2 linked regions of the Astyanax mexicanus genome follow. The protein of the gene in region 1 interacts with the protein of each later gene in a pairwise test. Links are inferred from orthologs where the notes say so. Each region holds a gene or a part of one and is shown on either strand. Other genes may lie near its edges. The genes, in order: rnf8 and cep44.

What was found.
Region 2: the proteins of rnf8 (region 1) and cep44 interact in binary tests that used the Homo sapiens proteins (3 or more experiments, as listed by UniProt). The two-hybrid records come from large-scale screens. The link is inferred for Astyanax mexicanus from reciprocal best matches to the Homo sapiens genes RNF8 and CEP44.

Annotation. Positions count from the first base shown.
Region 1 is NC_064408.1:85,897,057-85,913,314, reverse strand, and holds rnf8 (E3 ubiquitin-protein ligase rnf8), read left to right. Parts: upstream 1-8,155; 5' UTR 8,156-8,614; coding exon 8,615-8,737; intron 8,738-9,786; coding exon 9,787-9,915; intron 9,916-10,355; coding exon 10,356-11,009; intron 11,010-11,392; coding exon 11,393-11,455; intron 11,456-11,564; coding exon 11,565-11,654; intron 11,655-12,436; coding exon 12,437-12,544; intron 12,545-12,805; coding exon 12,806-13,010; coding exon of another isoform or gene 13,011-13,017; intron 13,018-14,694; coding exon 14,695-14,855; 3' UTR 14,856-15,013; downstream 15,014-16,258. UniProt on the Homo sapiens protein: E3 ubiquitin-protein ligase that plays a key role in DNA damage signaling via 2 distinct roles: by mediating the 'Lys-63'-linked ubiquitination of histones H2A and H2AX and promoting the recruitment of DNA repair proteins at double-strand breaks (DSBs) sites, and by catalyzing 'Lys-48'-linked ubiquitination to remove target proteins from DNA damage sites.
Region 2 is NC_064414.1:52,239,188-52,255,954, forward strand, and holds the start of cep44 (centrosomal protein of 44 kDa), read left to right. Parts: upstream 1-10,203; 5' UTR 10,204-10,428; intron 10,429-10,531; 5' UTR 10,532-10,543; coding exon 10,544-10,632; intron 10,633-16,767. UniProt on the Homo sapiens protein: Centriole-enriched microtubule-binding protein involved in centriole biogenesis. In collaboration with CEP295 and POC1B, is required for the centriole-to-centrosome conversion by ensuring the formation of bona fide centriole wall.

The sequences.
Region 1 (16,258 bases):
CACCTTTGTCAACATGCATCCTCCACAATGCTTCCTCCCTCTTTCTCTCTCTCTCTCTTTCTCTCTCTCTCTCTCTCTCTCTCTCTATCTCTCTCTCAATCTCTCTCTCAATCTCTCTCTCAATCTCTCTCTCTCTCTTTCTCTAATAAAAATGAACTGTTCTCCAAAATGCATAAAGTTAAAAGCCATGTACTGATCATGTTTTGGAATTTATAACACACAAAAACACAGGATATACATATTTAGAGCAAAACAGAAAAAAGGTTTCCATGGATCTCTAATGTCAGTGTATTTTACCATGTACATGACAATGGATTCATACAAGATCTCTCATAAGCAACCGACATTTGTTTTAGTTATAACAGTGTAATGAAGCCTGATTTAAGAAATATAATATATATAGCACAGAACTAATGTTGCATATGCTAACATGCCTGATATTTACTGGCCCTTCTGTTACTTCTGTGACATTTTCTTTATAAAGTATCTAAAGTATCTGATCTAATGTCAACTTGCAATTACTGACATGAACTACTCATAAATGTTACAGTGGGCAGTGTTGGCTCAGGGGCTCGAACACCTGGGTTATTAATGATTAATTAAGGATTGATTGTTGGTTCAGTACCCAGATTTAACAGGCTGCCACTGTTAAACTGTGCCACCTTAAGCAGGGCCCGTAACCCTCACTACTCAACATACTCTGCAGTAATGGCTGCCCACCACTCCAGGAACTTTTTTTAAGGTGAATAAAGGGAAGAAAAAAATATTTATAAAGTATTCATATATGTTGCATTTGTTTATGAGGTGGAGGATCACTCAGCTGGTAAGGTAATACAGTGCTCACTGTATTACTGTGTGTTATGTGTATGTGTATGAGTGAGTCTTCATTGAAAAATGGGTTAAAAGCGAAAGCCATATTTCTTCTGTGTTTTCAACACAAGTTGGATCAATAGGGTTGTCTCAGTCTGGGTGTATCTATTATGAGGCCTATATGTGGATAGCCTTGGATAACAATATATGAAATAAATTCAAATGAAAGTGTGCAAAATTAGCATTTAGATGAATAAAAGCCATAATAATCACTTTAAAAACTCTTCAAACAGAATCTATTCTGTTTTTACAGTGCAGGCTCACACATTGCAAAGGCCAACCTATTGCAAAGAGAACTTACAGTGGTCGTGTTAAGTACTTGTGGTAACACTTGTGCTGTGCTATAACAGGAAAACATTAAACCACAGTCAATGCTGCAGGCCTGAAGAAATTGTAACAAAACTTTAAAAAGTTGCATTTAAGCACCTTAAATATAGAAATGGCAATATTCACACTAACTGCTCCCACTCTGAGCAGGAGTTGTATATGTCGTCCCCCACTGCAGCGTGGGGAGAGTGTTTTTGCTAAACAGAAATGTGGGAGAGGTGAGAAAACCACACAAGCACAGAGATGCAGAGTGAAATGTAAAAGTGTGTATGTTTTATTATGTGTGTTTTCAGGACAGAATCTCTTGCGTGTGTGTGCGTGTGTGGGGCAGGTGCTCTAGTTTCTAGTTTCAAGTGTTGCACAGAAACTGTGCAATGAAATTCTTGATGAAGAGCTCTGCAACCTAGCCACAACTCACTGTATATATACAAATAAATGATTGGACAGTGACATTTGGCATTTTAGCTGTTTACCAAAACATGTTTAAGATACCGTTATATAATCAGTATAGTCTGAAAGTGCTTAAATGTGAGGGTATGTTATTGTAATCACAGGAAGGGTTTAGGAATTGCAGCTTTTTTATATGTAGCCTTTTTAAGGGACCATAGATAAGGGTAAATGGACAATTATTTCAAAAGCTATTTCATGGACTGCATTGGCTATTACCTTGTGAATCCACCATCAATTAAGCAAGTAATTCTTAACTGAATTGTAGTTAATTCCTGGTGTGACATATGTTGCTATTAACTCACAACATCCAGCTTCCATGCCCAATCCAGACCTCAGACAGTCATTTCCTGCAAGTGATTCTCAACAAAGTATTAAAAATGAACATTTTATTAATGGTAGTTAATTAGTTAAGTTAACTACGTTAATTCATCCAATTATTTTTGAGTCCCTGAAATGAAGAGGCTTTGTAGAAAGAAAAAATAATAATTCAAATTAAAATTCTAAACTTTAACTGCATCTCGGTTGCTTTATTTTATATCCAGTCTGATGGCATGCAGTGCCTAAATCATTAAGATTTGGTCACTTTCCAAATATGTATGAGCCTAGCGGTAAACACAGGTTGTGTCTGAAACATAAATGTTGTGATTCAGACGAGATTATGAGGCAGGAAAGCACCCAGTCATGCAACCTAGTTGTGAAATCTAGTTTTCTGTTTTATTGGGTGAAAATGCTTACAGCTAATAACAACACTGTTAAACACTCATATCTAGCAGTGAGCTGTCCATACCCTGGCAATACCAGGACGTATTGGTCCTTTTTGATTCAGAACACATTTAAAAGCCACATTGGGATCTAGACTGCACTGGCAATCATGCTCATCATTATACTGGTTTTCTCCAGTAAAGACTGAGACTGACGCTTTTATGTGCCACCCAGAGCTTATTTTTGGCTCCAGTTGAGCAGTACCAGAGTGGTGTGCGAGAAACAGTGAGGGCTGACCCTTAAACCTTGCGTATTCACTACCACAATATATTGTATATGATTATTTTAGGAAAAGTTTTAAGGAAAGAAAGGAAGCGTTTTGAAAAATGTTTAGCACCTCAGGAGATGAGGTCTAAAATACCCAGCAAAAATCACTCATGTCAATATTGTGCCCAATACCCCAAACCAAGCCAAACAGAGTCTGCCTATAGTTTTGAGTATAATATAGCAATTGGCCCACACCGCTTTCGCCAAAACCCTGGTTGCCAAGTATATTATGGGAATTGGCCCACACCATCTCCTTTTGCACACCATAAACTACATTCAGTTCAATTCCACACTGCTGATGCCAGTCATTACCTAAGACTCTCAGAATCTTAACCTAGGGCTATGGCTTGTAAGCAGTCGTTCTAAGGAAAAAGCAAACTGTAACCAAAGCATTTATAGGTTGTGTCTGAAACTTACAAATACAAAAATGTACAAAATTATGAAACTTTGGGGCTGTGAGTTTTGGAATTTAATTCAATTAATGAATTTGAATTGGTTCCACGCTATAGGATGTTAAATTGATCACACTGAATTTGATTTACAGAAAATGGAATTCAACTAATTGCAATTAAGAGAATTAATTTTTATCACATATCGGTGACTGTGATCCATTTAACATACATTTTTCTTCCAAATAAAAGCACAGACACGAACATTAAGCATATATTCCCTCAATGTTTAATAATCAGCAATATTTTAATTCCAAAATATCAATTCAAGAATTTAATTGAAATGGAATTTAGAGGTCACTCTCAATTCAATTTTTATTCTTGTACAACCTACCCATACAGGATTCTAATGAAAAAAGGCACCCAGTCATCTCTGGGTAAAAATGATCATTTCTGCTGACGACACAGCTAAACATTCATATCTAGCAGTTGGTGTTGAGCTACCTTGACAATGTCACAACATATTTTGCCTACATCACTACACTACCATCTGAGACAGCATGGACAGCAAGACATCAAATCAGCTAGCTAACTTCAGTTCCAGAGACAACCATAAATACTGAGACTTAAACCTTGTCATAATAAACAGCAGCCATGTGCTCCTCTAGACAGCTGCCCAGCAATCTAAGAGTTCAAATATTCACTGTTCACTGATATTTTTGAAGTAGAAGTAGACTATATAAAGATAGCAAAGTGTTTTCAGGCAGCTGGTTACTCAGGACAAGAAGCAACACCACAATTTTCACCATAATGGAATGTGACCTCTGTCTCTGACTCATCCATGCAGTGAACACACAGCACACAGTGATATAGTGAGCACAGGGCCCGACATTGGGTAAAATGTAAGAAAAGGCAGTTAGCAAGAATATTGGAGATTGAGTTGATTAAAGCTGATTGAATTCAATTGAATAATAACTTTAAATTACATATAAGTTTGTTTTTGTTGTAGAAAAAAGATACAGATATTAGTACTGCATTATTAGTAATTATTGTGTTTATTTTGACCAGAGTTTATTTTAAAATATGGGGAAGTGGGTTTGTCACTTTTTTACTGACAGCTTCTACTCCTCTGGGAAGGCTTAACACACACGTGCAAAATTAAACAGCACTTTTTATGCACTGATGCTTTTTTACGTTAGTAATCTAATGCTTCAGGTTGATTATTAGCTATGGTTTAAACTGATTAAATTGGAGTGATAAAGTCTAGCTCTGGTCCTGTGGGTCGGTCTATGTGCTTATGTTAAAGGCAAACTGCTAGACTAGTACTGTCTGTATGTGTTACAAATAATTAATTTTACAGAATGCCAGATTCTGTAATGCCACTGGCCCATAGATGGTGCATGGCAGAGTACCTGTAAATGTGGACCAGAAGCTATAACCCTATTGTATTTTGCATATATATATGCTGAGACAGATGATTTCCCACTGCTGATACATCCTGTAAATGTGTTTGCATGTGGCCATCCAGTCAGCCATGAATACTGGGTTGTTCTTTTAAAGTAAAAAGCAGGTTCAGGTTCAGGTGAGAGAATAATTTAACTGTTTTATTGAGAGTGGGGTTCTAACACGCATATGTCCATGCCTGCAGGTATTATTTGATGTGTAGCATATCATTCATAAGCGTGAGTTCCCTCTAAGTCTATGAATAGGCCTACAGAGGTGTCAATGCCCTTAAGGGGACATCCAATTTGTTCACACTTACTATTCTTCTTAACCATGCGTCCTCCACGTATTACTCATAGTTGAGTCCTGCTATTTAAGTCTCCATGAGTAAAAAAAAAAACAACAACCAATACATAGCCAGTGCATTTTTTAAACGCTCACTCACAGTATCACACCTCAGACAGGGCTTAGTTTGCTAACAAGAACCACCCCTTTGTTAACCTTCCATTTTTTCTTTTTCTTCATTTTTTATATTAATGTAATGTTATATCACTTATAATTTAGATGGTTTAAAGCAGCTCAGAGACAAATTGAAAGACATGCATTTCTGGACAAGCTGTGAGATTCAGAACCTTCACTGTAAGTGAAATAACCATATGGAGTGAGGCATTAGAGTAATATTACAGGATTTTACATGAATATGTATTGGGGTGTGGATATTGGGTTGTTTGGTTGTTGGGTGGACAGATCCCCTAAAATTCACTATTACAAATCAGTTGAGTTTCACAGTGATTTTGAAGATGCAAGTTTAGTGTAAACATATTTATTATTTTTTTTAAGTAATTTCCGTAAATACCAGTATTTTATGATCCAAACAAATTCCAATTGATATTATGTAAATTAATTGTTATGCCTGAGTACTCCATAAAGGTCTTCATGAGTTCTTCTCCAGTGATTCTACAATTTGTAAAATACAATGTCCCTTATATACAGATCAAACCTTGTTCTACATCCATTATCCATTTTTTCACTGACCACGTTACATTACTTTGTTGTTCTATTATTAAAAGCAGTTATTATTTGGGTGGTCATTCCATCACAGTAGGAGTTTTTAAACACTGTGTCCTCTCACTGTCCATTCTATTAGACACTCCTACCTCATCTCATCTCATCTCATCTGTTACTACACAATTTGTGGTGGTCATCCTCTAGTCCATTATCGATGCTCACTGCTGGACTGAGAATATTCTCAGTCCAGAAGTGACACTGAGGTGTGTAAAAACTCCAGCAGCACTGCTGTGTCTGATCCACTTGTGTAATGAAAATCATTGCATGGACTAAGGAACACTTACAGAAATCATTGTGTGTAAACACAGTCCGATGTGAAATTCAGAAATGCAAGTGAAAGCTGTTTTAATGCTTTGGCCCAAAGGAGACAGCATAAAAGACTTCAAACTGGATGTAAATGATGAATGTTTAACAATTCTGAATGGTCTGATCCAACATGTTAAAAGAGTACTGATAGTGCTTTAATGTGGCAGTTCTTTTTGTAACTAGAAAATTCAAAAATAATAAGCTATAATGTTGTAAATGTACATATTGTTTTTGGCCAGAAATATTTTTACATAGTTTAATGCCAATTGTGACTCCTCAGTTTGTCTCCTTGCATTCACACGATCAATAGCTGAGATTATACACTCATACCAGCACCAAACACACAGCCCAGTGTGAACACTATCATATCAGCATCACTGATGTGCTAAACAATGATTCACAACGCCAACAATTTTCAGACAGCAGTGGTCCTGTGGTTACAAACTGAACAAATTATAAAGAAGTAGAAGAAGCTCATAAAATGCCGCTTAATGAGCTTCAGCCTGAAGCTGTATCAGTATGTGTAATGTGAAGCTGTTTGTCTGGTGAGTGAAGGTCAGAGTAGGTGTTTCTATCCTGGTGGTCACTGTGTGGAAGCACAAGAAAGGTGTTTCTAATAAAGTGGCCAGTGACAGAAAGCACTAGGGTTGCCACCCGTCCCATAAAATATGGAATCATACTTTATTTGGGAAATAAATATTGCATCCCGTATTGAATCAATTTGTAACATTAAATGTCCCATATACACAGATCAAACCTTGTTCTACATCCATTATCTTCACTGACCATGTTACATTATAATTGATCTATAATTACATACTGTATTTCTTATGTTTATCTGTTCGCCCTGTTCTTTAATAGTTCCTTTCACACAGCAGTTATTATTTGGGTGGTCATTCCTTCACAGGTCATTCCATAAATGTACAATCCACGTGTCTGTCACACACAGATCAACACTAAAGCCCTCCTCCCTCCGCTCCTCTGTGTGCTGCTGCACTGGTTAACTACAGATGTGTTATCTAAAAACAACTGTATTTATCTGTACAAAAAAATATTTCTTAGATTTAAAAAAATTGTACAGATTTCTGTGTATTTTGTGTCAAAATGGTTATATTTTTGAGGAATACAATGTCCCGTTATCATTACATAAAATATTATAATAAGTGGTTTACTAAAAACAACAGCATAAAACATACCACTGCTGCGGGTGCCCCGTCTTACAGGTGTTGGGCCTGTGGTGGATATGGCTCAAAGAAGCAATGGTGGGCGCCCCTTATTTTAAATTCTGAAAGGTGGCAACCCTAGAAAGCACAGAACAGGTATAGCCAGTAAATAAAAACAAGAAATATGTTTCTAATAAAATAGCCAATGACAGAAAGCGAAAGGTGAAAACAACAAAGGTGTTTCTGTTAAAGTGGCCAGAGAGTGAAAACAAGAAAGGTGTTTCTAATAAAAAGTCTTCAGTGAGTAAAAGCACACGGAAGGTGTTTCTAAAGTGGTCAATAAACTGAAGCACATGGTAGAGTGTTCTAGTCAGTGAATAGGAGTACAAGACAGGTAGTTCTAGTAAAGTGAATGGTAAGTGTATGATAACACGGGAAGCTCAGTTGATCCGATTTAAACTGTAGATTCTGACGCCATCTAGTGGTGCAGTAGAGCGTGTGGTTGTGTTGCTGAATCAGAACTGAAGCTCTGTGAGCTGCACATGTTTTTCTGCTCAAATAAACTTGATCTAAATGACTAGTAAAAAAGTTACTGAAAAATAATTCAGGCATTCCTTTTATTCATTTGGCTTTTTTTTCCTGTTCAATCTGTCATCTTGGGACAAACATCTTGTTAAATGTTCATAATATTAATTTCACCTAATATTTTATTATATTTTGTCTCTGTACTTGAGTGAGTTGGAGCTTAAGCTGTCTACCATTTTGTGTTAAAATATCGAGGCAATTAAAATTTTAGAAAATTTTAGAAAAGCAAAATATATATTTGAAACAGAATGTTCACCCTGCAGCTTGCCATAACAGGGTGCTTTAGTCTAAAGTATTATAAACATGAGAAATATTTAAATTAATTAAAAATCTCAAGACATTTTGTGATCATTATGAGACGTTTACAGTATTCAGATTAGGAATCACATAAACACAATTGCTGATCAGAAAGGCCAGGAATGAGTTAAAGTAAAAACAGATGTGTTCTGTGGACCTTAGAGAGAGGGGGGCAGAGTCAGGAGAACTGCAGACTATATAGGGGACCCTTAAATAATAGGTTGAACTTTTATTTTGGAATTGAGCGCGCCATGAAAAATCCCTCTCGTTGTTGTCGGATCTGTTGTCACATAGTAGCTGCTGGTGTTGTCTTACCTCGCGCCTTTAGTCTGAAATTCATCTGTACCACAGGGGCTGATCTGCTGCTCTGTGTAGTTTGTGTGGAGAAGCTGTAGTTTTGTGTAGTTTAGTGATTGTTGTTGTTGATTAATTCGGTTTGTATCGGTTGTGTATGTTGTGTGATTTACTCTGTTGTTTTTTATGTGCTTTAATGTAGGGGGTTGTGTAGTAGTATAATGTTGTGTAATTTGTTAGTGAGGAGTTTAAGGTAGTTTGCACTAGTCGCGGGTCTTGGGTTAGCTGGGATCTGCTGTCAGCTGCAGGGTTTGTGGTGAAGATGGCAGCAGCAGCAGCAGATCTCGCTGTCTCAGAGTCTCAGCTGTGATCCCGCTACACTGTGAGAGAATTATGGAGACGGTGGGTGAAGATCAGAAGCGGCCTGAGGAAGGAGACCATCAAGATGATAAAGTATGGTGTTTAAAACGAGTCGGCAAAGACAGCGGCTGGTTACGGCTAACCGAAGACACTGAGGTAACGGTACTGGATGAAGCTAAGCTAACCTGTAGCTAAGCTGAGCTAAGATAGCTAGCTGTTTTTCCTGTGTGTTTCAGCTAGGCTAGGTTAACCAACCCTACAAATTGCCACGTAGCCTATAATGTCCCGTTTTATCCAAACTGATTTAACCTCAAACTCTGAAAAAACACGGGACACTACAGTAAAAACGGCTAGGGCGAGAGTTTGAGGTGCAGTTTTCTAACGCTTTTATAGTAAACAAGGCTAATGCTAATGCTAACTCTGAGCAGCGTTGTGACGCTCACTGAAGGCTAGCTACGCTAAGCTAAGTTACCTAACCTACAAGAGGAGACTTAAAGCTTCAGAATTCCCTTATTATTTCTGTCAGTGTTTTGTCTGTGTAGGTGTGGGAGGTTAGGAAAGTGTAACATTTAAAAATTAATGACATAAGAGTTCTTTACAGGTTTCTGACAGAAGCAAATGTCCCTCTACAGAGATTTCCTCTGGCAGCTTCTCTATAGGAAATATTGTGCAATCTCGATTAACCCATTTTGAAAATTGCATTAAAGTAGATATTCAATTAATCAAGTTAATTTACCTTTCTGCCCTCATAGGTTAATATATAGTTCCAGCATAAAAAGTGCCAGCGTAGGGTGTTTTTTTTTTTTTCTTTCTTTTTTTGTAGACATTTTCTTCTGTTGCAATGAAAGACTGTATTCAGTGGAAGTATTTGTAAAAAAAAAAAAAAAAAAAGTGTTAACAGCAATGCTAATACTCTATAATATGGGTTACAGGTAACAGTAAAAAGCATTGATAAGTAATGTCTCAACAAATTATTGACACTTTGTTAATTATTGACACATTTTAATGCTTAAGAATTTAGAAGTAATAATGGAAAGGGACATTATTTAAGCACACCTTAACTAGTGTCAATTAGTAATTTGGTGGAACATGGTCTTTGTGTATATACTGGTAATTATTTTGTTAAATCCTGTTACTGCAATCCCTTAATTTTGTTTTTGTTGTTTTTTTTTTTTGTTTTTTTTTTCCCTTTTTCTTAAACCCAGGTTACCATTGGTCGTGGCCTGAATGTCACTCATCAGATCCTGTCAGTGAGTTGTCCGTTGATGATCTCCAGGAATCACTGTATGCTAAAGCAAAAGGAGGATGGGCAGTGGACAGTTACTGACAATGAGGTACACTACCGTACCTATCAATTTTGTGCCAAAACCCTTTTGAACTCTTAATCTTTTCCTGAATTTATAATACTGTCATTGTGGTGGTGATCATTATAATTTTCCCCCAATTAAAATAACTCAGATTTCTGATCACTATGCACTAGAATGTGGGGGGAAATTGTACTAATCAATAATGTCCTTCTTCCACCATCACATCAGTCATGAAAGAGAAGCAAACACTCAGCTATCTCAAAGACCATCCCAATACTGTGTGTTCACATACAACAATAGAGAGTGATAGCTTTGAATAAAATAAGATTTATAAGAGAATATGTTAAATTATAGTGATGTCTGAGATTTAATGGTGCATGGAATCGTTTGCTAAAAAGGATTGTAATCACGTTGACATCTGAGATTTACACCCTCTAAATCTTCTGTAATTCTTACTGCTGTTTCAGAGCATGAATGGAGTGTGGGTAAATGGAGTTCGCATTTCTGCTCGGAAACCCTACACCCTACAGCAAGATGATGTTGTGAGGTTCGGTGTCCCTTTGGATAGCAATCCGGTGGAATTTGAGTACGTCCTTATTCACCAAAGTCTTAGCAAAATCAAAGATTTCTTGACTAAAGCTGTTGTTGCCGAAGCTGGACCAAATGCTTCGGCCCTTAAACCCAAAAAGTCAAAGCGCAAGTTTGGTACGGATGAAGCAGAACCAGGTACAACTCTGGATTCCAGGTGCAAGCTTTATCGCAGTTCTGCAACCGACAAAGCTAGTGCTCAGCCCTGTCCAACAGATATACCTGCCTGCAGGTGGCCTGATGACCCACCTGGAAGCTCTGCTGACTGCAGCAACAGCAGCCAGCAGCTGGCTACACTACGGCGTTACAATAACAACCTGCGAGCGCTGAGGGATAGGATGGGGGCCACTCAGAAACAAGCTGCAGAGTTAGAGGGGCAGGAAAACACAAGTCCTGAGCAGCAAAGAAAAATGTTGGAGCTGCAGGAACAGATGGAGGTTTTACAAGGGCAGCTGAACTCCCAGCACGAAATGGCCCTGCAGCGTGTGAATATGCTGGAGAAATCTGTCTGTGAGGAGGAAAGGAGGCTGGAGGTGAGGCACTCACAATGTATCATTTGTTCATTGTTATCACCTTAGTCCTTTGGATTTTCTCACATTCAGATTCAAATTGAATGTCTCCTGCTATAGAACAGCAGGAAGATAAATAACATACTAAATAAAAAGACAAAAATAACACAAACTAAAGCATTAAAAACTACATAAAACTGTCATGTAAAATTTGTCCTTTAGCCAGTCACAATGTTGTTTCAGTTTTCTATTGTCCTGTCTACCAATTATTATTTTAATCAGGGCTATGTATATCCAATAATATGAAAAAACAATGTGAAAGCATGTGCTGGGGCTTGCTTTGATACCAATAGAGTGTTTTTTTGTTGTTGTTGTTGTTGTTTTTCAAAAAACATTCTTTATTCTAGGTGACGAAAGCTCAGCAGAAGGAAGATGGCCTAAAGAAACAACTGGAGGAGGCTTTGAAAGAGGTAGGAGATGAAACAGCTCTGTAACCCTACATACTAACCCTTACATGTAGCAGTCATTTCAGCATTTATATCGTATCTGTTTATTTATTTTTTATTTTTTAAATTGCAGCACCGAAAAGTGATTGAAGAGCTTCAACATGCAAGACAAGGTTTTAAGGAGGTTCTTCAGGCCAAGGATAAAGAGTTAGAGGTTACCAAGGTGATTCCTCTGAGATGTAGAATCTGATTACATTTACACCAAAACTTTTCAACTTGTTTTCCTCTCACATTTGATTCAGCAGGAGTCCTAGTGATACTTACTATTTACTAGCAGATTAATTGGAATTTAACTAGGTAGAAACTAATGGACAGAGAGCCCGTATCATATGCCAAAATTTCATTAGACATTTTGGCAGAATAGACATTTTGGCACAATTTGATAAGCACAATAATCTGATTTTATTAATTTACTCCAATTGCTCAGATTATATTAAGGCAAATATGGTGGATTAAGAAAACGTGATAAAGAGGTAGTTCTAGTAATCCGATTTTTTTTGTATAACGTACCCGTACTCTGATTTTTTTTTGCTGTTCTCAGTACACGCATTAACATGAACACTGGATAGGACAGATGCACATTCAAAACTAGCTTGTCTCCTCCTTTGCAGCAAAAGGGGCAATTTTGTGTATTATTCAAAATCATAAAAAGGGGGCCCGTCTTCACAAAAAGCTGCAGCAGGATGTTTTTTGTAAGCCTTTTCCATTTTCTGATTATTCAAATCCAGGTAAATGATCTGATCAGATTACTGAAAAAATCAGTTTTTCTATGGTTATCAGATTACTATGTGAACGCACCTTTTTTTGTGTCAGAAAAATCACAATACTGTTTCTGTATTAAAACAGCCATACTGTACAGCTATTATGACAAATTATGGTTTAAAATAACATTTCTATTTATAATGAATTTAGAAATTTATTTTCACTGTACTTTCTTTCATGCAGGAGGAGAAGGAGAAAGCACGAGCCCAGAAAGAGGAGGTTGTTACACAGATGACTGAAGTGCTGGAAAATGAACTGCAGTGCATCATCTGCTCTGAGCTTTTTATTGAGGTATGGCCTTCATGTGGCACTGAGCGTGCTTCGCAGGACTTCTGCAACACGAGTTGGCCACCTGTGTGGATCTATTGAACTTTTGTTTGTTTTTATGCTATACATAACTTGTAAAGCTCTACAGCTGTTTAACTGATTACTTAAATCAGTCATTGATTGTTACATGGTAACTTGGAGTCTATGATTTCCCTAGAAAGCTTGATTGTTTTTGCAGTGAATGACTGTCAATGATTGTGTCTGTATTCTTATCATATGTCTCAGGCTGTGACGCTGAACTGTGCACACAGTTTCTGTCTTCACTGTATCTCAGACTGGCGGAGACGAAAGGACGAGTGTCCGATCTGCAGGCAGGCGATCCTCTCCCAGACCCGCTCTCTGGTGCTAGACAACTGCATCGATCGCATGGTGGAGAACCTTAGTGCTGAGATGAGGGAGAGGAGAGTGGCACTAATTAGGGAGAGGAAAGGTGAGAGGTGCGTTCTCACCTTGCATTTCTGTAGCAAGTGCTACAGGTGCATCTCAAAAAAATGAAATACTGTTGAAAGTTCAATTATTTGAATAATTTTATTAAAAAGCAAAGCTCTATTATATAGATTTATTACACACAGATTGGTCTATTTTAAGCATTTATGCCTTTTTATTGTTGATTATGGTTTACAGACAATGAAAACCCAAAAGTCAGTATCTCAGTAAATTAGAATGTTTTATAAGACGTATTGGTACTTTTGGCAGTGTGTGCAGTGTGCTAAGTCCTCCTGGAAAATTACATCTGCATCACAATAAAGCATGCCAGCCCAGAGAAGCGTAAAGTGCTCAACTGCTTTGTGGTAGGTGGCTGAGCTGACTTGATGTAATACAGTGGACCAACACCAGAAGATGACCCGATGACCCACACTGCCAACCGTTGGTCTTGTATAATATCAAAATTTCTGAGAAACTGACTTTTGGCTTTTCAACTTTTCAATTATGATTATTATGTTTTTTAGATGCACCTTTAAATCATTTCCATTTGCTGTAAGAGATTGATGCTGAATGCACCACATAGACAATGACTTCCCATTACATGTGAGCCTTTTAAGATTCATAGCTAGCCAAAACTGTTATTGCATATAAATATGATTGACATTCCAGCATATAGAAGGTTCGTTACACTTTCCTGTTTAAGGTGTGGAAATTATTATGGTAGACTAGCGCATTTCAGTCTCTTGCCAAGCCTTGGCCCAGATTTCTATAACTCTCTGCTGGAACAGTGTTTACTGTAGTACTAGGTCATCTATTTATTATTCATCATGGTACAAATAGACATCAATTATAATAGTTAACATCATATTAATATAAGTGCCATTTATTCTCTAAAGGTTCTTGATGTTCGAATATCTACTTCAGTTTCTGTCTCATTATTGCTGTTCGATATTGAATATTTGTTTTTTATCATGAATAGTCTTTGATCAAGATAACTGCCTGAACTTCACCTCCTAAAATGTGTCGAAATTCATTATTGCACTAATCTGGAGATTAGTGCAATAATGCACTAATGCACTTTAACAGTGTTAAAATTAATGTTAATTACATGTTTAAATAAAACAAAGCCCTTTTGTTTGACCACAAAACTATTTTTTTTTTTTCTGAAAACAATTAAAAAGGTTTTTTGAAGAAATCCTAATATACTTAATACTTTTCTGTTCAACTTGAACATAAACAAGAAGAAATACATTGACATGCCAAAAGGCATGGTACAGAATTTAGCGTACTGGTTTGAATTGTAATTTCCAATGGAAACTAAAAAAGCAGCACTCACCTGGAGGATATGCGTGTGGGGGTCTCCTGTACTTGAATGTTGATGTGACTTCTGATTAGCTTATCTATTCACACTAGCATTTCTAGCAAGATGAAACCAATCATTATTACCCACTGTGTTGTCCATTGTGTGGGGTAATGCCTTCTATGACGTATTCTCTGTACACGTGTGACACTTATAATACACAGAACTTTGGAAAGGTGAAGTCCCATCTATCTGGAACCCGCTATCCGGCCTCATTAAAACTCTAATAATTCACACCGCCTTGCATGAGCACACTGACCTGTGTTCAACCTCACTCACAACTTATACAGGTGCTGGACTGAACCATGATATGTGTTTGTCTACTCAGGTCAGAGCAAAGCTCCTGTGGCAGTGGTAGTTATCCAGGACGACAGCAGCAGCAGCAGCGACAATGACTCTTCAGTTTACTTATCCACAGAGGGCTACCTGATCAACCCCAGGATACCATACTGCGTCGACACCAGTGACTCGTCTTCATGGAGTGATTAAAACCAATAACAGTGTTCCTAGTGAAACACTCGCTCACTTGAAGAATGTGAAGTGTACAGATCATATTTGTGTTTTTTTGTTTCTTATATGATTGTAGATCAATGTACCATATTTGTTTTGTTTCCTTATATAAATAAAATAGGTTTATTTGTTTCGCATTTGCTGTACTTTTGATTTTAGACATGTAGATAGCATCACTGTCCCATCAGTACTTTGAAACTTGATTATCTTTTATAGTATTACAGATTCATGTGCTCTTTATTGTTTTCAAAATTTGTGTTTTTGAGTGAACCAGGAGAAAAATTTTTAGAATGACATGGAGTAAAATAATTTGTATGATGAATAAGAAACTACTGTCTCAAAGCAAAGTTTTGTTAGGACCAGTGACAAGGGATAGATGTATCATGATCAGCCTCTCATATACAGCGTATTGCTACTGTGTTGCTTCAAATAGTTGTTTTTATTGCCTGCAAGCACAGGTTAATATTGCATGTGTAACTTTGAACACAAGGGGGCAGCAGCCTAATGGTATCATTTATTTATGCCTAGTTCGAAAGTGTATCTTAATGGCCTGACATCATGATGTACTTAATTCAATACTCCAGTTATGTGTTTAGTTTGAAGCCATAGACTTAAAACCTCAAACATAGACCTTATTTCATGAGACTGATGGAAAACAATTCCCCTTGTGGTCTTGTGAGTACGTTAATATTGCTGTGCTTTCAAGAAGACAACCCACTCTTTGCTTCCCAATTTACTAGAAACACATACCTGGTGCTTCCACTTACTGGCACTTTATAAGATACATCTATTTTGTAGTTTCACCCCTTGGCCACTTAATTATAATCACTTGCCTTTTACTCTGGCTGCTTCGTTAGATACATCTGTCTTGTGCTTCCACTCACTGGCCACTTTATAAGAAACACTTGCTTTGTTCTACCACTCACTGGTCACAGTATAAGAGACCACATACCATGTGTATCCACCCTCTGCCTGCTGTATTAGCAACGCCTGTGTTGGTCGTCCTCTCACTGTTTGGTATATTCGAAACACGGACCTTGTAGTTCCACTCATTGGCCACTTTATTAGAAACTCCTACCGAGGCATGCCACAACTTGGCCGCTTTACTTTAAACACTTGCCAGTTTATTATAAACTCATTGTACGTCCATTCGTTCGCCACTTTATTTGAAACTCACATCTTGTCCTGCTGCTCACTTTCCACTTTATTAGAAACGCCTGTGTTGTGCTTCTACTCAATGGCCACTTTATTCAAAGCCTTTACCCTAATATATGCTGATTTGTGTTGTTAAAGTCATTGTACGCTGCACTGAGGCTCTGCATGGAGAGTACATCTCACTGCCAGCATCCAGAACCATTCGTTTTGGAGAGACCTATGTCATG
Region 2 (16,767 bases), on another chromosome or scaffold:
TGGTTGGTCCTTCTTGGTGGTATGCTGACATTACCCTGGATACCGTGGCTCTTGATGCATCACAAAGACTTGCTGTCTTGGTCACAGATGCGCCAGCAAGACGTGCACCAACAATTTGTCCTCTTTTGAACTCTGGTATGTCACCCATAATGTTGTGTGCATTGCAATATTTAGAGCAGAACTGTGCTCTTACCCTGCTAATTGAACCTTCACACTCTGCTCTTACTGGTGCAATGTACAATTAATGAAGACTGAACACCAGGCTGCTCCAATTTAGCCATGAAACCTCCCACACTAAAATGACAGGTGTTTCAGTTTCATTGTCCAACCCCTGTACAAATAAACACAATAGACGAAATCACGATTATCAAAAATTATTTGGGTCATGTTCATTTATTGTACGATAAATCAATATTGCAATTATTGTGACGGGCCTAGAGTAAACTTAACATTGTGGTTTTATTTTATAAACTTCAGACAACATTTCTCCCAAATTCCAAATAAAAATATTGTCATTTAGAGCATTTATTTGCAGAAAATGAGAAATGGCTGAAATAACAAAAAAAAGATGCAGAGCTTTCAGACCTGTCATTACTGAATTATTAAAATGCTGCTTTGTGACGTCATAGTCCTGTCTGATTTACCTAATTTCATAATACTAAATGCCACAGAGGTCAGGTCTGGCATGCTTTTGAACCGCTCAGTATAAAAAAAGTCAGTACTACAGGGTTTTATGTTTCACCCGCCTTCCCTTTGATGTTCTGCACAAAAGGCTTTACTTATGAATCTCAGTCAGTGCCAAATCTGTCTCTTGACCATGTGAATGAACTCAATCTGGAAGTATTATGGAGTTGTATGGGGCAGAACAGCAGGGGGAACCGGCTGACCCCATTACCAGTCCCGACACGGCTCTCGCTCAATTCAAACCCTGAAACTTAACTCTCCACCAAAAACTCCTGACCTGCTTTTACTGGCCTGAAGCAACTCCTTCAGAGTTTAAACACTGCATTTATTCTCTTAACGTTCATTCTCTTCATTTGTGCTTCCTATTGCTATTGGTGAGGCTCCTGAGCTAATGCATGTTTTACTGCACTTTACAGCTTATAATTTAGAGCCCTAGACTAATTTTGCAGGAAATTCTAGAATATAATCAAGAGGAAGATGGATGATCACAAGCCATCAAACCAAACTGAACTGCTTGAATTTTTGCACCAGGAGTAAAGCAGCATAAAGATATCCAAAAGCAGTGTGTAAGACTGGTGGAGGAGAACATGATGCCAAGATGCATGAAAACTGTGATAAAAAACCAAGATTATTCCACCAAATATTGATTTCTGAACTCTTAAAACTTTATGAATATGAACTTGTTTTATTCGCATTATTGGAGGTCTGAAAGCTCTGCATCTTTTCTGCAAATAAATGCTCTAAATTACAATATTTTTATTTGGAATTTAAGAGAAATGCCATCTGTAGTTTATAGAATAAAACAACAATGTTAATTTTACTCAAACATATAGCTATAAATAGCAAAATCAGAGAAACTGATTCAGAAACTGAAGTGCTCTCTTAATTTTATCTAGAGCTGTATATATTAACCTAAACATTACAAAGTATAATATCGGATGTTATTTTTATAAGATTCTAGAATATTTCACTATATCTTCTACTGTGAGGAAGATTTTTGTAATAATTATACTGACAGGGAATTTATACGACGTCAAAAAAGTGTCCTTTTTTATTATTAATGCTATTCGTTTGTTTATTCGTATTTACTTCTTTTAGTATTGATATTTTTCTTTTTTGTATTGCTCTTACAGCTACCAAAGCCCTGAGAGAGCACAATTGGTCTTGCTCTCTAGCTGGGTTGGTACAGTAGCTCGCGCTCTTTCTTTCCCCTCATCACTCCTAGGGAGATGTGGATCAGCACAAGGCTGCGTCTGTGAGCTGATGTATCAGAACCGAGTCACTGCGCTTTCCTCCGAGCGTTAGCGATGATGCTACTCAGCAATGCTGCATCAGCAACAATACAAAAAGAGTTTACCCTCCTGTTGGGGCACCACTAGTGATAGGTGGAGTCCTAATGAGTCGGTTGGGTAATCAGCCTCGTAAGTTAGGGAGAAAATGGGGAAAAAAAAAAAAAAATTCTAAAAAAAAAAAAAAAAAAAAGAAAGAAAGAAAGAAACGAATAGGTTATAACTGTGTTTAAAAGTGTTTAATTTTTTTCACTTTCCTGGCTAAAAATTTAATTTCAATGCATGCCTACTTTATACATACGAACTGGCACAGTTCTGACTACTGTTCACATACAATAAAATAAGAGTAATAATCTTCATAACCTGGCTCTTATACAGCAGCGTACATTAGTGCTCCCATTTATAGCATCTAAACCCCTCCCTCCTCAGACGTGCCGGCACTGAGGCTAAACCCGTATATCCCTGCCTGTTACTGGCAGCACGGAGCCGGCGGTTCAGCCGTCAGTTATGAGGACTGAAGCCTGTCCTGAGCGCAGTGGCAGTAATCCTCTCTCAGTGATATGCATTAAGAACTTTATCAGCCTTTATCTAAATTCCTCAGAGAGCTGCGTCTCTCACCCCGGCTCAGAATCCGCCGTGTTTATTCTGCATTAATGGCTTTGCTGAACCGTCCTGAGCTCAACTTAACCGTGCAGCAGCAGCAGCAGATACAGCTCTGTGCAGGAATTTCACTGTGAAATACACTGTGTTCAGTGTCCTAATGTTCGTGAACAGACTGTCTGACATAGAGCTGGGCGATTAATCGATTTTATCGATTAATTCAAATTTACAGTTAAGGACGATGTGTTTTCATGAAAATCGATTTTCTCTGAGTTTTAATTTTCACCACCGACGCTCCCCTGAACTTAGCCCCGCTTTGTAAAAAGCTATTCAACAATTTGTCTATAATAGGTTTGAAAATAAAGAAAACTTAAGAAAGCAAAAAAAATATATATATATATAAAATAAAAAACTGCTCTTATAATAACATTTAACAACACGGCAAAAGAATGATTTATGTAATTTACATAAAAATGAAGTTATTTTGAGACATGACTGCCTATTTAAAAAGCAACAGAAGTTGTTCATTTGTTGAAGTTAATTGTATCATTTCTAACATATTTAGAGTGTTTTTACTCACGTTTTTCTCTCTCACAATGTTAATCCTTTACAGCTTCAAAAACATGTATTATGCAAATTATACGATGACGTCATTTAGCAACTTCTAGCGACTTTTAGGAGATTTTAGTCTTTACATCTAAATTATCAATAAAAACACATTATTGTACACTTTTGAGAAACATATCACAATATATTGCTATATTCTTATTGCATTGTGATATCTTAACAACAATATCACTAGGTCTGCACAATAGTTTAAGCTTTCTTCCTGGTTGCATGGTTTGGTAATTTGGCCTTTAAAAAGAGGAATGGCCTGAATTAGATTGTAAAATGGGCAAGTAAGTTGATTGGTAAGCCGTTACTCAACTTGGAAACCTTGTATGGCAGACAGTTAAAGCAGGTAACTGATGTAATTTTGGGGGACAGTGAATTTAGGTTGCTTCCATCTGGACAGAGATTAAGAGTACCAAGATGCCATAACTCAAGCAAATAGGATGAATAGGACATAGAGACTTAAGGAATTGTATTTATATATATGTTGCTTACTGTATGTTTGTGTTTGCTTTGGTAAATGTTCTTTTTGTAACAAGATGCTGCTTCGCATACTGTAAATCAAATTTACATTTGGGTACAAATAAACTAACCTAACCTAATTGGAAAAATTTTACATTGCAAATTTTTTTGACAATATATATCGCGATATTAAACAATGCAGGGCCCATGACATTACCAGCCCCGCCCCCACCCACGTGCTGTCTCGGGTCCGGACCGATCAAGAGCTGAGTCAGCGCCGAGCTCTCAAAACCCGAGTAAAACAGCAAAACAACAGTAATCGCCCCTTTAATCAGGCATTTAAATGGATTTTTAAAATGTAAATAAGATTGTTTTTCTAGGATTAAAAGCGTGAATTCAGCTGTAACTGGAAATATCTGAGCTGTAAAACTGTGCTGGACTGAGGTGCACAGTGCCCAACCATGTGGAGGGCTGTTACCTCATGTTTACTCCTGCCCCCCCCTCTTGCTTCTCAGGCAGCTGCAGCCTGTCACTCACACGGACACAGAGACAGCGCTGTGTATCTACTTCTTGTGTGAAGAAATAAAAACTTTACAACATGACGTGTTCGTTTTAATTGCCTTAAGTAATCTTGAACGTCCTGCAATGTGACTACTGCGCATGCGCACATTGCGATGACAATGCTAAAACGATATATTATGCAGCCCTAGATATCACAATACTGTGATACTCTATTCATATTGGTTTAACACCTTCTCCCTCAGTATGTAAATTTTCCCCCCACATAGTAAATGAATAGTGAAGTGATCCAGACTGTGAAGGAACACATATGGAATCGTGTAGTAACTTAAAAGTGTTAAACAAACAAAAAAAAATACTCTGTGAAGAAGCTTTTAGATGCTCTTATCTGGGGAGCTGTTTTTTAACTTGTGGTTTCTGAGGCTGGAAACTCTGATGAACTTATCCTGTACAACAGAGGAAACTCTTGCTCTTCCTTCCCTGGGTTGGTCCTGATGAGAGCCAGTTTCAACATCATGTTTATGATGGTCTTTGCGGTGACACTTCAGGATACTTCCAATGTTTTTAAAATGTTTGACTAATCTTCATTTTTTCTTAAAGTATTATTTTTTCTTTACTTAGTAAACAACAACTGAGTAGTTGTTGCTTCTCATAATCTGGATTAGAACATTACTCAAATATTCACTATTCACTGTATACCTGTAACTCTACCTCTTCACTACTTTACTTTAACTGATGCTCTCAAACACTTTATTAAGAGACAAGAAATTCAAGTAATTAACTCTTGATGAGTTCAGCACAGCTGTTAACTGAAAGCCTGAATTCCAGGAGACTCTACCTCATAAAACTAACTGGGAAAATCCAGCCAAGATGTGTAAAGCTGTCTAATTTAAGCAAGAGGTGCTACTTTGACGAATCTAAAATATAAAACATATTCTGACTTGTTTATCAATTTCTTTTAGAATTTAGAGTACATATGTTTCAATAAAAAAGTATCCATATTTAAAGCCACATATTGATAATGTTTCAAAAACAAAAAGTATACGTAAATATATGTATTGTAATATTGTAGTATTTTGTCCCATTACTACTGAGGACTAGGGGTGGGCAATATTATATCGCATACAATATATCGTGACACAGAAATATCGTGATATTAAAAATCCATATCCTGATAATATAGATGTTCTGTCTTAAAAGTAGTCTATTATTTACTGTGAAGCTTTAGGAGTATTTATTGTATAATTGTTTTAGTTTGCAGTTTATATGCATGCACTAAATATTCTGCAATATTATTTGCTGAATTTTATTATTTTATGCAATATTATTTATTTTGCCACATTATGATTATGCTGTTATACTATTATACTATATTCCTGAAATTAATTAATTCTTTTTCTGTTTTTTCTATATCGCCAAGTATATTGTTATCGCAAAAATACCCTGAAATATCGTGATATTATTTTACAGCCATATCGCCCACCCCTACTGAGGACTAAAACTTTTGTATTTAATATATATGGAACATAAGGGATTTTGGGGATCTGTTGCTCTATTCATGACTTCTTAATTCATGATTTCTCTAATGTTTTTCTGTAATCTGGTGAGGGTAAGAGTGAGAGTGAGTAGTGAGCTGTGTTTGGGTGAGATGGTATTTAACCCGCTCCACCACATTCTCTGTGGTGTGTGGAGGAAACAAGCCGGTACAGTGTGACCGGCTCCTCTCATCCATAACTCAAGCGAAAGAGCAGTTCATTAATCTACAGCATATCCAACATACAGGTGCATTAAAAAAAAAAAAAGTAACTTTTTTTCAGTAATTCAGTTGAAAATGTGAAACTCATATATTATATAGATGTATTAAACAGAGAGTGATCTATTTCAAGAGTTTATTTATTTTATTGTTAATGATTATGGTTTACAGCCAATGAAAACCCAAAAATCAGTGTCTCAGAAAATTTTAATATTATATAAGACCAATTGGTACTTTAGGCAGTGTGGGCAGTGTGCCAAGTCCTGCTGGAAAATAAAATCCGCATCTCCATAAAGGTTACATTACATTACATTACATTACATTACATTTGGCAGACGCTTTTGTCCAAAGCGACTTACAATAGTCAAGTACAATGTAAAATAAGTTTAAAGGAAAAACATCTTTGGATAGGGATAAAAGGAGGACAAAGGGGAATAATAGGACAGAGGAGTGAAGGAGAGGAAGAAGGAAATGAGGTTAGAAGTAGTTAGTGTGTTAGAGGTATTAAGAGAGTAAGTGCTCTTTGGTTGTCAGTAGCAGAGGGAAGCACGAAGTGCTGTAAGATTTTGTGGGAAAACAAAACTGCACTGACTTTAGACTTGATAATAAAACACAGTGGATCAACACCAGCAGATGACATGTCTCTCCAAAACATCACTGATCATCAGTAAATTTGTCCAAAAAAAATATGATATACTTGTTATATATGAGATTTTGAAGGTGCCTTGAGCATAAGAAAGTAAGTTATATTTTATATATTATATGTAATACTTTTTCTATAATATAAGCACTATCATTTAAAGTTCTGTTATGGTTAAAAGAAAAGTCCCAGGATATATTATTGTCTTGAACTGGGCCTTTTTTATTTTACTTATTGATATTTACAAAAATCTATTATGTAATATCAGGTCTGTGACTGGTTCTGTGCAGCATTTTATATTTGTAGGTACCTTTAGGTAGTGTTTATGACTAAATTCTATTCTGACATATTGTATAAATAAATATTATATAATTTACTATCTGTGCTGTTAGACACTTCACACAGAAAACAACTGATTGAGGCTTTGTGAACAATCACACACACACTCTTCCACAGTTCAGTGTTTGGTGTTGAGTGTAAATACTGACTCAGCTCCAGCATTTTCCACTCAGTCACTCAGGTGAGTTTAGGCACATGCTGCTTACCTGTACCTCTACTTTTACCTGTCTGTGTACATCTATAGAGACCCAGAAAACACCAACAGCACTCCATTACTCACTTCTAGCAGCAGTACCCTAAATTTCACAATTCAAAATTACATCTTTTTTATAAAACTTAATTTCATTTAATTTCCAAACAATTCAAAACATTTTGGTCACATGTAAAAAATAAATGAATAGGATCTATGATTTAAATGAACTAGTCGGTTTCTATTGGCTTCTGGCACTTTGTATTTATATACTGGTTGTTTCCCATAGTTTCTGACTCTAGGGGTGAGCGATATGGTCATGAAATAATATTACAATATTTCTATTCATATTATAACTTCTTGAAGATATGACAAAAAAACAGAATAAAAATAAATAAATACAATAAAAACTAATAATAATAAAAAGTAACAATAATCATAATAATCATAATATGAGAATAATTATGAGGGTTGTCCACATTTATGATGAATGATGAAAAGATTTGTTCGAAAATGATTGGAAATAAATTATTTTTACAGTGACTTCCACTTTTTCAGTGTTTGTCCTGATATCTTAGTCATATTAGTTATTTTTTGTACTTTTGTAATTATGGCCTTTATTTGATTTCTTATTTTTTAAATATCTACTATTTTGAGATGCCTTGAATACAATGAATTAAATCATATTCTTATATATTATGTATTATTATTGTTCTATAATTAACTTTTAGTCCTGTCATATAAAGTTCTGTTATGTTTAAAACAAAAACAAGAGAAAAGCTACAAAATGACTTAAAATCAATTATTTTACACACAATACTTCTTTAATTATAATAATATTGGTTCAATTATAAAATTAACAACAATTGATTCAACTTTAAATTTACACACTATAACTTAAATCATTAAGCTTAATTAACTTATGTTTTTAGTAAAAATGACTCAAAATACGCTAAGGCAACATTTTTTCTCAAATTATTAGACTAAATGTAAGTTAATTAAACTTATTCAGGCTTTATAATGTGTTTTCCCTAAATTTGCCTACCAGCCTGGCTGCTCATCATTACGTAAGTTCACTGACAGCTTTTAAACTACATGTTTTTAATTCAATTTCACGTTAAAACACTTAATTTTAACTTTAAACTCGCGTTTAAACCCAAAATTTAGCATATAAACATTCACACTTTAGTTCTGTTTATGTTTCAAAGTACTGACTAATCGCCATCCCTCATCACGTTAGATTGCCGAACAAGTCCTGCCCTTACTCCCCGACGATTGGCTACAGCGCACATCAATCAAACCAGCGAGCTCTGCTATTGGCTGATTTAGCTGGCATTTAAAATTGTCATAGCTCCAGTAGCTGAACCCACCCACCTGTGTTTTTATGGCTTTATTTTCACCGCCGCCGCGACGAAATTCGTAACAGTTCACAGCAGCCGATGCGTGGAAATGTCCTTCAGCCCCCAAGCTCAGATAAAGCGCGCATTTCTTCCCCAGAAGCTCCAAAAACGGCTCAAAACCCGAGCAGGCTGAATCCGCGGTCAGGTTTATAATCTCCTCCACCGCTCAGAGTCTCTCAGTGCTCAGCCCCGCCCCTCCCATCATAAACCCCGCCCACTTTCTCTTTCTCCTTACTTATTTTTATTTATTTTATTATTTTTTTTATCTTTAAAGTGCTGGTAAACAGCCATGTGTCGTTTTTTTCCATCAGTAATATAAAGTATTTGTTAAAAATAAAATAATAAAATGACAAATATAATGCAGTGTAAAAACGAGTGTCGTCGTCACGTTTGACGTTTCTTGTTGTTGGTGGAAGTGACGCACGCGGATCAGCACGTTTTGGCAGGGCGTGCTAAAGAACAGCACTTTCGATAATAATTTATATTATTTATATTTATTATTATTTTCATTTTTAATTAAAATGTTAAATGCATTTACAATCAAATACATCATAAATAATGTAAAACATATATACAAATATTTAAAAATATATTACAATTCAAAAGAAGTAACTGAGAAGCAAATCTCACAAAGTGGCCAATAAATTATATATATATATATATAAAAAATAAAAATAGAAAAGTGAATTAGCTGGAAGATTAGAAGATTTCTTTAAGAGTCTGTAACTATCAACTGGTCACTTCATATGACGAGTATCTGTCCTGTATTTTGGTAAAATTTCAGCCACATGCATTTTGTAACTGACTTATATCACATTTTCTCTTAAAAAAGTGTAGGGATTAAATACATTTATTTAAAACGTTAATAAACTACACATAAAATTTGACAGAACACATAATACTTTGTTTTTTTGAATATATTTTTTCTTATCTTTTCAGGGTTGCTCATAAATAAAGTTTGACAGTATATCTAACTATAGACATGGCTACATTAGTAGTGCAATGCAAAAAAAAAAAAGCACAGTGAGAAAATGTTATTTTTTGTTATTTTTTGCTGAATAAACGAATCTTGGATATTGATATTCTGATAGATAGATATTTCTATCTGACTTTGTTTGATCGGCTAAAAAGTATATAAGATGAAGGACTCCTGGTGAAAACACGCCCATTCTGAATTTATTATTTATTATTATATTTTTTATTTATTTATTTTCCAAGCTATATTTCTGCACCCTATGCATTTTGCGAAGAAGTAATATATAAATGAATAAATAATTATATTTTTTTGTTTGTTTGTCCTTTCTTTGATTTTCGTTATAATAATATCTCTCTTGTCGTCTTAAAATTAAGTGATATATATTGAAAAGTATTTAAGAATGAGAAGAAACTATGTCTAAACTAATTTATAAAAAAAAAAATGTAATTCAGATCCAGGATGTAAAAATCCATGCCAGGATTTCGTTTCATCCGCCTGGACGGCTCTGCTGAAGCCCAGCTTCAGAAGAGCCGCCCAGGCGGATTGAACCAAATCCTGGCATGGATTTTTATAACTGTAACTAGTTAACTAGATAGCTCGATATACAGAGAGGCAGATAAATAAAAAGATACTTTTTTGATATCATATTGAAATAATCGTATGATTTATATGCATATATCTATAGTATATTTGTGATTAAGAACTCTAAAATCCGTTTCTAAAATCCGGTCCACTTTTTTCAGCTAGGAGGATGAATGTGCGGCTGTGAAATGATAGCTAAACAGTTTTAAATCCGCTGTGAGCGCGCCTAGAAACAAAATACAAACAAAATAAACGTCTATTTATCGAGTTTAAACCCGTTAAAACACTTCAAAACTCGTTAAAACTCTTTAAAACGGCTCAAACAACCGCAAAAAGTGGATTGTATACATACACTGAAGCTGCAACGCCTTGTTTTGCAAAGGTAAGGAGCGGAAATGCTCTAATATTAATATAAAAAAGCTGTATATTTGTGTTTAATAACGTTTTTCATTAGTTAATCGCTTTATTTCACTGTTAAACTGCAGGTAGACTGAAAAATGGCTACAGGTGATCTGAAGGGAAGCCTGAAGAAGCTGCAGACCTCCCTCAGATATCTCAAATACCCCAGAGAAGTGGATTATAACAGGTAATTTATTATGCCTGTTTTAATATGTTTTAATGTTTTTTCCTACATTGTAAATGAATACTAAAGTCATTCAGACTATGATAAAACATAAGTAATCTTTAAAAGTGTTAAACAAACCAAATTACCACTTTTTCTGAACTCTCTTGCTCTTTCTTTCCTGGGGCAGTCCTAATGAGTGCCAGTTCCACCATTTATTTTCTTTTGCCATTTTGCCATAATATGGATTAGAGCATTACTTAAACAGAGCTATTCACTGTATACCTGTAACTCTACCGTTTCACTACTTTACAACTGATGCTCTCAAACACTTTATTAAGAGACAAGAAATTCAAGTAATTAACTCTTGATGAGTTCAGCACAGCTGTTAACTGAAAACCTGAATTCTAGGTGACTCTACCTCATGAAGCTGACTAAGTAAATTTAGCCAAAATGTGCACTGACATTTTAGCAAAAGGTACAATATATATATATATATATATATATATATATATATATATATATATATATATATATATATATATATAAATAAACATATTCTGGTTTGTTTAACACTTATTTGTTTTGTTTTATTTAATAATTACATATGGTTTTCTTCATAGTTTAGATTACTTAATATTAATCTACAATATAGAACATGAAATTAGTGAAAAAGTACTGAATTTAAGGTGGGTCCAATTTTTTTGTTTGTGTGTACTAGGGGTGGACGATATGGCTCTAAAATAATATCACGATATTTCAGGGTATTTTTGCGATAACGATATACTTGGCGATATAGGAAAACTAAACTAATTCATTCATTTCAGGAATATAGTATAATAGTATAACAGTATATTCATAATGTGGCAAAATAAATAATATAGCATAAAATAATATAATGCAGCAAAAAATATTGCAGAATATTTAGTGCATGCATATAAACTGCAAACTAAAACAATTATACAATAAATACACAAACAATACAAAAATGTGTACAGAGATGGGTGATATGGCCAAAAGTTATATTATGAATACTACATCATGACAAGTAAAGGCATTTGTACAATACACAATATGTATCCTTTTTCATCACATAGAAAAATTACAAGACATTTTACAAAAAAAAAAATATATACTTTTTTTTTTTTATGCATGTCATCCAATTTAACAGGATTTGTTTGCACTATCCGAATTAAGTGTACTGGTACTCCCTGTAGAGACGTTTTTGCAATAGAATAGGGGGTATAAAGCCCTCAGTTTTGAGCTGTGGGACAGTGGTAGAGCTTTGTTTTCTGAAATGATGGAGCTTCATCTAATATTTAAGAAAGGGCGGAGTTGTGGAGATGGAAATCTCCACAAGAGATTCTCACAGCAATGCTCTAAAATGCAGCAGAATGAAAGAAAGCAGTGAGTTTTTAACTGATCAGTCTGTGTGTGTTTTGTAATTGAGTTTATAGCACATGTTCTGCTTCTAATGTTCTGTTCCCAACAGTGTGATTGCATCATTCTGATGCTGCACTTGTTGAGTAATATTATCCGTTCTGTCGTCCAGCCTGTAAGACTGTGTTCATCACAGAAACTCAGACTGTAATGATGATATAATGAGATTAATCCTGCAGCCCTGCCCGGTGTTGTGCTGAATTCAGTAGCCATGTGGACAGCAGCAGAATGCAGGAATGAAACCAATCTAACACAACTCAGCTCGTTTTCCAATCAGTCCAATAGGAGCCAGTCTAGTGTTGTGCCGAATTCAGCACCCCCGCCAGGAAAAGCACCCCCTCTCAGGAGTGCGCACTCATGTCTTCTTAGCTTTAACTTTATTTGGAAAATGGAAACACCCAAGATACTGTTGTAAGCTACGATGACTTGTAAAAAAAAAATAAAAAAAATAAATAAAATAAATACATGCCACCTGCAGCCTCTCCCTGAGAGAGGGTGCTTTATTTGGCGGGAGTGCTAAATTTAGCACCATAGTAGTGCCTAAATCTGCAGCCCCACCGTGAAAAGCACCCCTCTCAGCAGCGCATATGCGTTTTTTTTTTTTTTTTTTTTTTTGACAAAAAATGCAGAGATAATTGCTTTATTATTATTTAGAAATAGGGGGTGCTTTTCCTGGCAGGGGTGCTGAATTTGGCATAACACTAGACTGGATCAAATTAAACTGATTGGAAAACGAGCTGAATTGTATTATAGATTATGTGATTCCTGCATTCTGCTGCCGTCCACATGGCTGCTTGATTTGCAGGATGGAAATGAAATGATGGAATACTTGAATTTCCAACATAGACGTCTCGAATTGTGATTCCCCAGAAACTCCATCCAACCGGCACTAATGCCTGAAATCCAGCTCAGATTTACAACAAACACTATGGCAGCGGCGGTTTGGAGCTGAACAGAAGCTCGGACTGGACGCAGGGCTGACTCATATTCCCGTATTCCCACTGTAATTACACAGAGCAGATTTACTGTTACTGTAAATTACTGAAGTACATCTGATCTGCTGCTGCGTTCGTCTGCAGGATAATCGACTTAATGGACTACATGCAAAAAACCTTTAACTTTCACTATACAGCCAAATGTTTGTGGACACCCCTATTAAAGGGGAACTAAACTCAGCTCAAATTTAAAAAGGGGGAGGGGTGGGTGATGTATGGGTTTAGAGACGGTGCAGGAGGGAGAGCTGATTGGCTGAGCTACAGCAGCAGCAGTGTGCCTCTGATAGCAGTTAGACGCAGACATGTGATTTGTCTACCTACGAAAGTACACAGAAACTGTAACTATAGCACAGTTTAACCTGAGAGGGTGCTAAAGAGCCAGAAATCACCATAATAAAGTGTTTTTTTAAGTTTAGGAAATGTTTATAAAGATTTTAAGCAGGACTGGTGTGTTTTATTAACACATTTCAGCTATTACTTAAAAAAATATGGTTTAGGGTTTAGTGGCTCTTCAAAATGCATTTAACTACTATATACATGGATCTGTTGGCACCATACTAATGTCTAATGCCAGGTGTGGGCTAGAGGGATGTATGCTTGGGATGCACTGATGTGGGGGGAATTTTAAGCCAGTGTCGTTGTCCAATATTAAACATGTATACTAGTTCATCTCAAAATAAAATTAATATAATTGAAAAGTAACTATTTCAGTAATTCAGTTCAAAATATATATTGTTTTTACTTTTATTGTCAATGATTAACCCAAAAATTAGTGTCTTTTAGAAAATTTTTATGTTATATAAGACCAATTGTTAATTTCTGCAGTGTGGGCAGTGTGCCAAGTCCTGCTGAAAAAATAAAATCAGCATCTCGATAAAAGTTGTCAGTAGCAGAGGGAAGCATGAAGTGCTGTAAGATTTTGTGGGAAAACAAAACTGCACTGACTTTAGACTTGATAATAAAACACAGTGGATCAACACCAGCAGATTAAATTTTTACTCAAAATCTGAAAAATAAGGAAAATGTCTTTTAAATATAGTGATTAAATATTTTTACCATATGATCCAGCAGCTCAATCAGTGTGTGCAAACACAAACCAGGGAGGATTGCTTTTATACTGTTTGTATCGATATCGATATGAAATATATTATGATTATAGATTTTTTTTTTCCGTATCATCCAGCCCTGTTCTTACATACACTACATAGATTAAACAGAGACATAGTTAAATGTAAATCTAAAACATCAATATTTGCATTGAACAGAAATGTGTTGGTGTAAATATATAAAAGCTGAAACTCTTCGGGGAAGTTGTGCTGCGTCTGGTTGCTCTCTCATGAAGTCAGAAGGACAGCTCCTCTTGATCTCGTGTTCATCAGTGATGCGCTGCTGTAAGCAGAACCACCTGCTCGGGTCTCAGTAGATATCAGGAATGCTGGGATGTCTAGGTCTGTTTATTCACAGCCAGCTGAAAAGTGTTCAGATCATTTAGACTGCAGACTGGATCAGATTTACTGTAAAGCTGAAAATAACACTAATATAAATATATTAACACAAATCCCTTCATTAGACTGAGGCTAAGTACAGTCTGACAGGATTCTGTTATATGAGTATTTAACTGTGAGCAATAGCCAACAGATCAGAAATCTGCAGATTCAATGTTGTCAATGTTTTATTTGTATGCTTTAATGTAATTTAAATTAAATATATTAACTCTCCTATTATGTTCCTTTGTCAGGAACAGCAGTGGTGTTCCCGGGTCATATTGACCCGTCACATATTTAATTATCAAAAAGATTATGAAAAAAAAAAATCCTAACAAGCAGTGTGAGTATTTCATTACTAACTCCATTGCTAATTATTATCAATATAATCAATATTTAGTGCAATAGTGTCCCTTACCTCTAACAGGTAATGGTTCAATTAGGAAAATTCACTTGTTTTTCATACAAAACAAAAATATATGTTCAACCTTTAATTTTTTGTTTCCCTATTTTATTACTTTTAAAAGACCAACATATAAAACATTAGTTTTACATAACATTAAAACATAACATTGCAATTTTGTTTCAGTTTTAGTTTTTGCAGGGGTTGGTTGCAAATATGTAAGATGAACCATTTTCATATTATATGTTAATTATACTAATTAAGGCTGAATTTTTTTCATACTGAAAAAAAATACTTATAACCTTTTTTTTTTTTTTTTCCCAAACTTCAAGATGGGACAATAACATATAATGTCGCTAGGACTGGGTATGTTTTGGAACAAACAGTGAGCATGTTTGTGGTGCTTTATTAGGAATTAAAAAAAAAAAAAAAAAAATATATATATATATATATATATATATATATATATATATATATATATATATGTTACATTTACAAAATTAAGATAATTGATATTACTGGTGTCAATCACTTAAAAAATTATTATAATCCTGATTTGTTTTTTTGTTTTTTAATTCTGCTAGTTCCCTGTATTTTTGAGAGGGGGCAGTAATAATAGTGTAGTGTGGTTTAGGCCAGGCAGACTAAAGCTTTTTGTTTTACTGTATTATAATATCGAGAGAGAGAGAGAGAGAGAGAGAGAGAGAGAGAGAACGTGAGTGAGACAGAGAGTGTGCGAGATGTTGATTTGAGGTGATTTAATTGGGATGAGCTGGAGCTTCACAGCGTGAAGGAAAAGCAGCAACTACTGTTCAGCACCTCCAGGAACTCCTTTAAAATGCTGAGAAAACTATTCCAGGTGACTCTTCCTCATGAAGACACTGAGGTTAAAATCTCACCAAGAGTGTGCAGATCTGTCCTCAAAGATAAATTTGATACTCATAAAATATATTTTGATTTGTTTGTTTACAAAATAGTTCTGCATGTGTTCCTGTAGAGCTTTAATATAGTCTTCAATATTGAATTTACAATGTAAATGTAAAAAACGTTGAAGAAACATATTAATTTAGAAGGGGTGTGTCCAGACTTTTGACTGGTACTGCATGTGCAATGTAATGTAAAAATATACAACCACAGTACCAAAGTAACTATGGCTGCAACTAATGATTATTCTTGTAGTCGACTTATCTGGCAATTATTTTTGCAATTAGTTCATTAATCAATGATTATTTCTGCCATGCCCTTCGTCTCTGCTTGCTGTGGGTATTTAAAATGATAGAAACAGCTAAACATGGGATTTAAATGCCATTAAAATATCCAGAACATTGCCCTTTAAAACGTGCAAAGTTCTGATATTTAGTGAGGAAATGTGTAATCTACAAAATTTTATAATCAACATTGTCGATTATATCAACTAATCGTTGCTGCCCTAAAAGTAACTAGTAAAGCTAATACAAATTAGGTTGATTTCAATCAGAAAACCACAATTTTAGTTATAGTGTTTTTCATTTTTATTATTCCAACATTGTATCAATTGTATTATTAACAGTGCAATACAACACTTTCCTAGTGACCAATTATTTAAAGCTAATGTCTGTAAGTTTGGGGATTTGGGGGATTTAGGACCCTCTCTGGTGAGAATTGGTAATTACACCAAGCATGCGGAAGAATCATTTTAAACTGGGCGGGTGTGATGCGGTCTCCTTTCAGAGCGGATGAGCCCGATTCCAGGTTATGTTCAGTCAGAGAGAGAGAGAGAGCGATCAGTCAGAAACTTCACTCCTTTGTTTCTTTGGTTTTACTATGAGTGAATGAGCTACTGAGCTCTGAGTTTCCT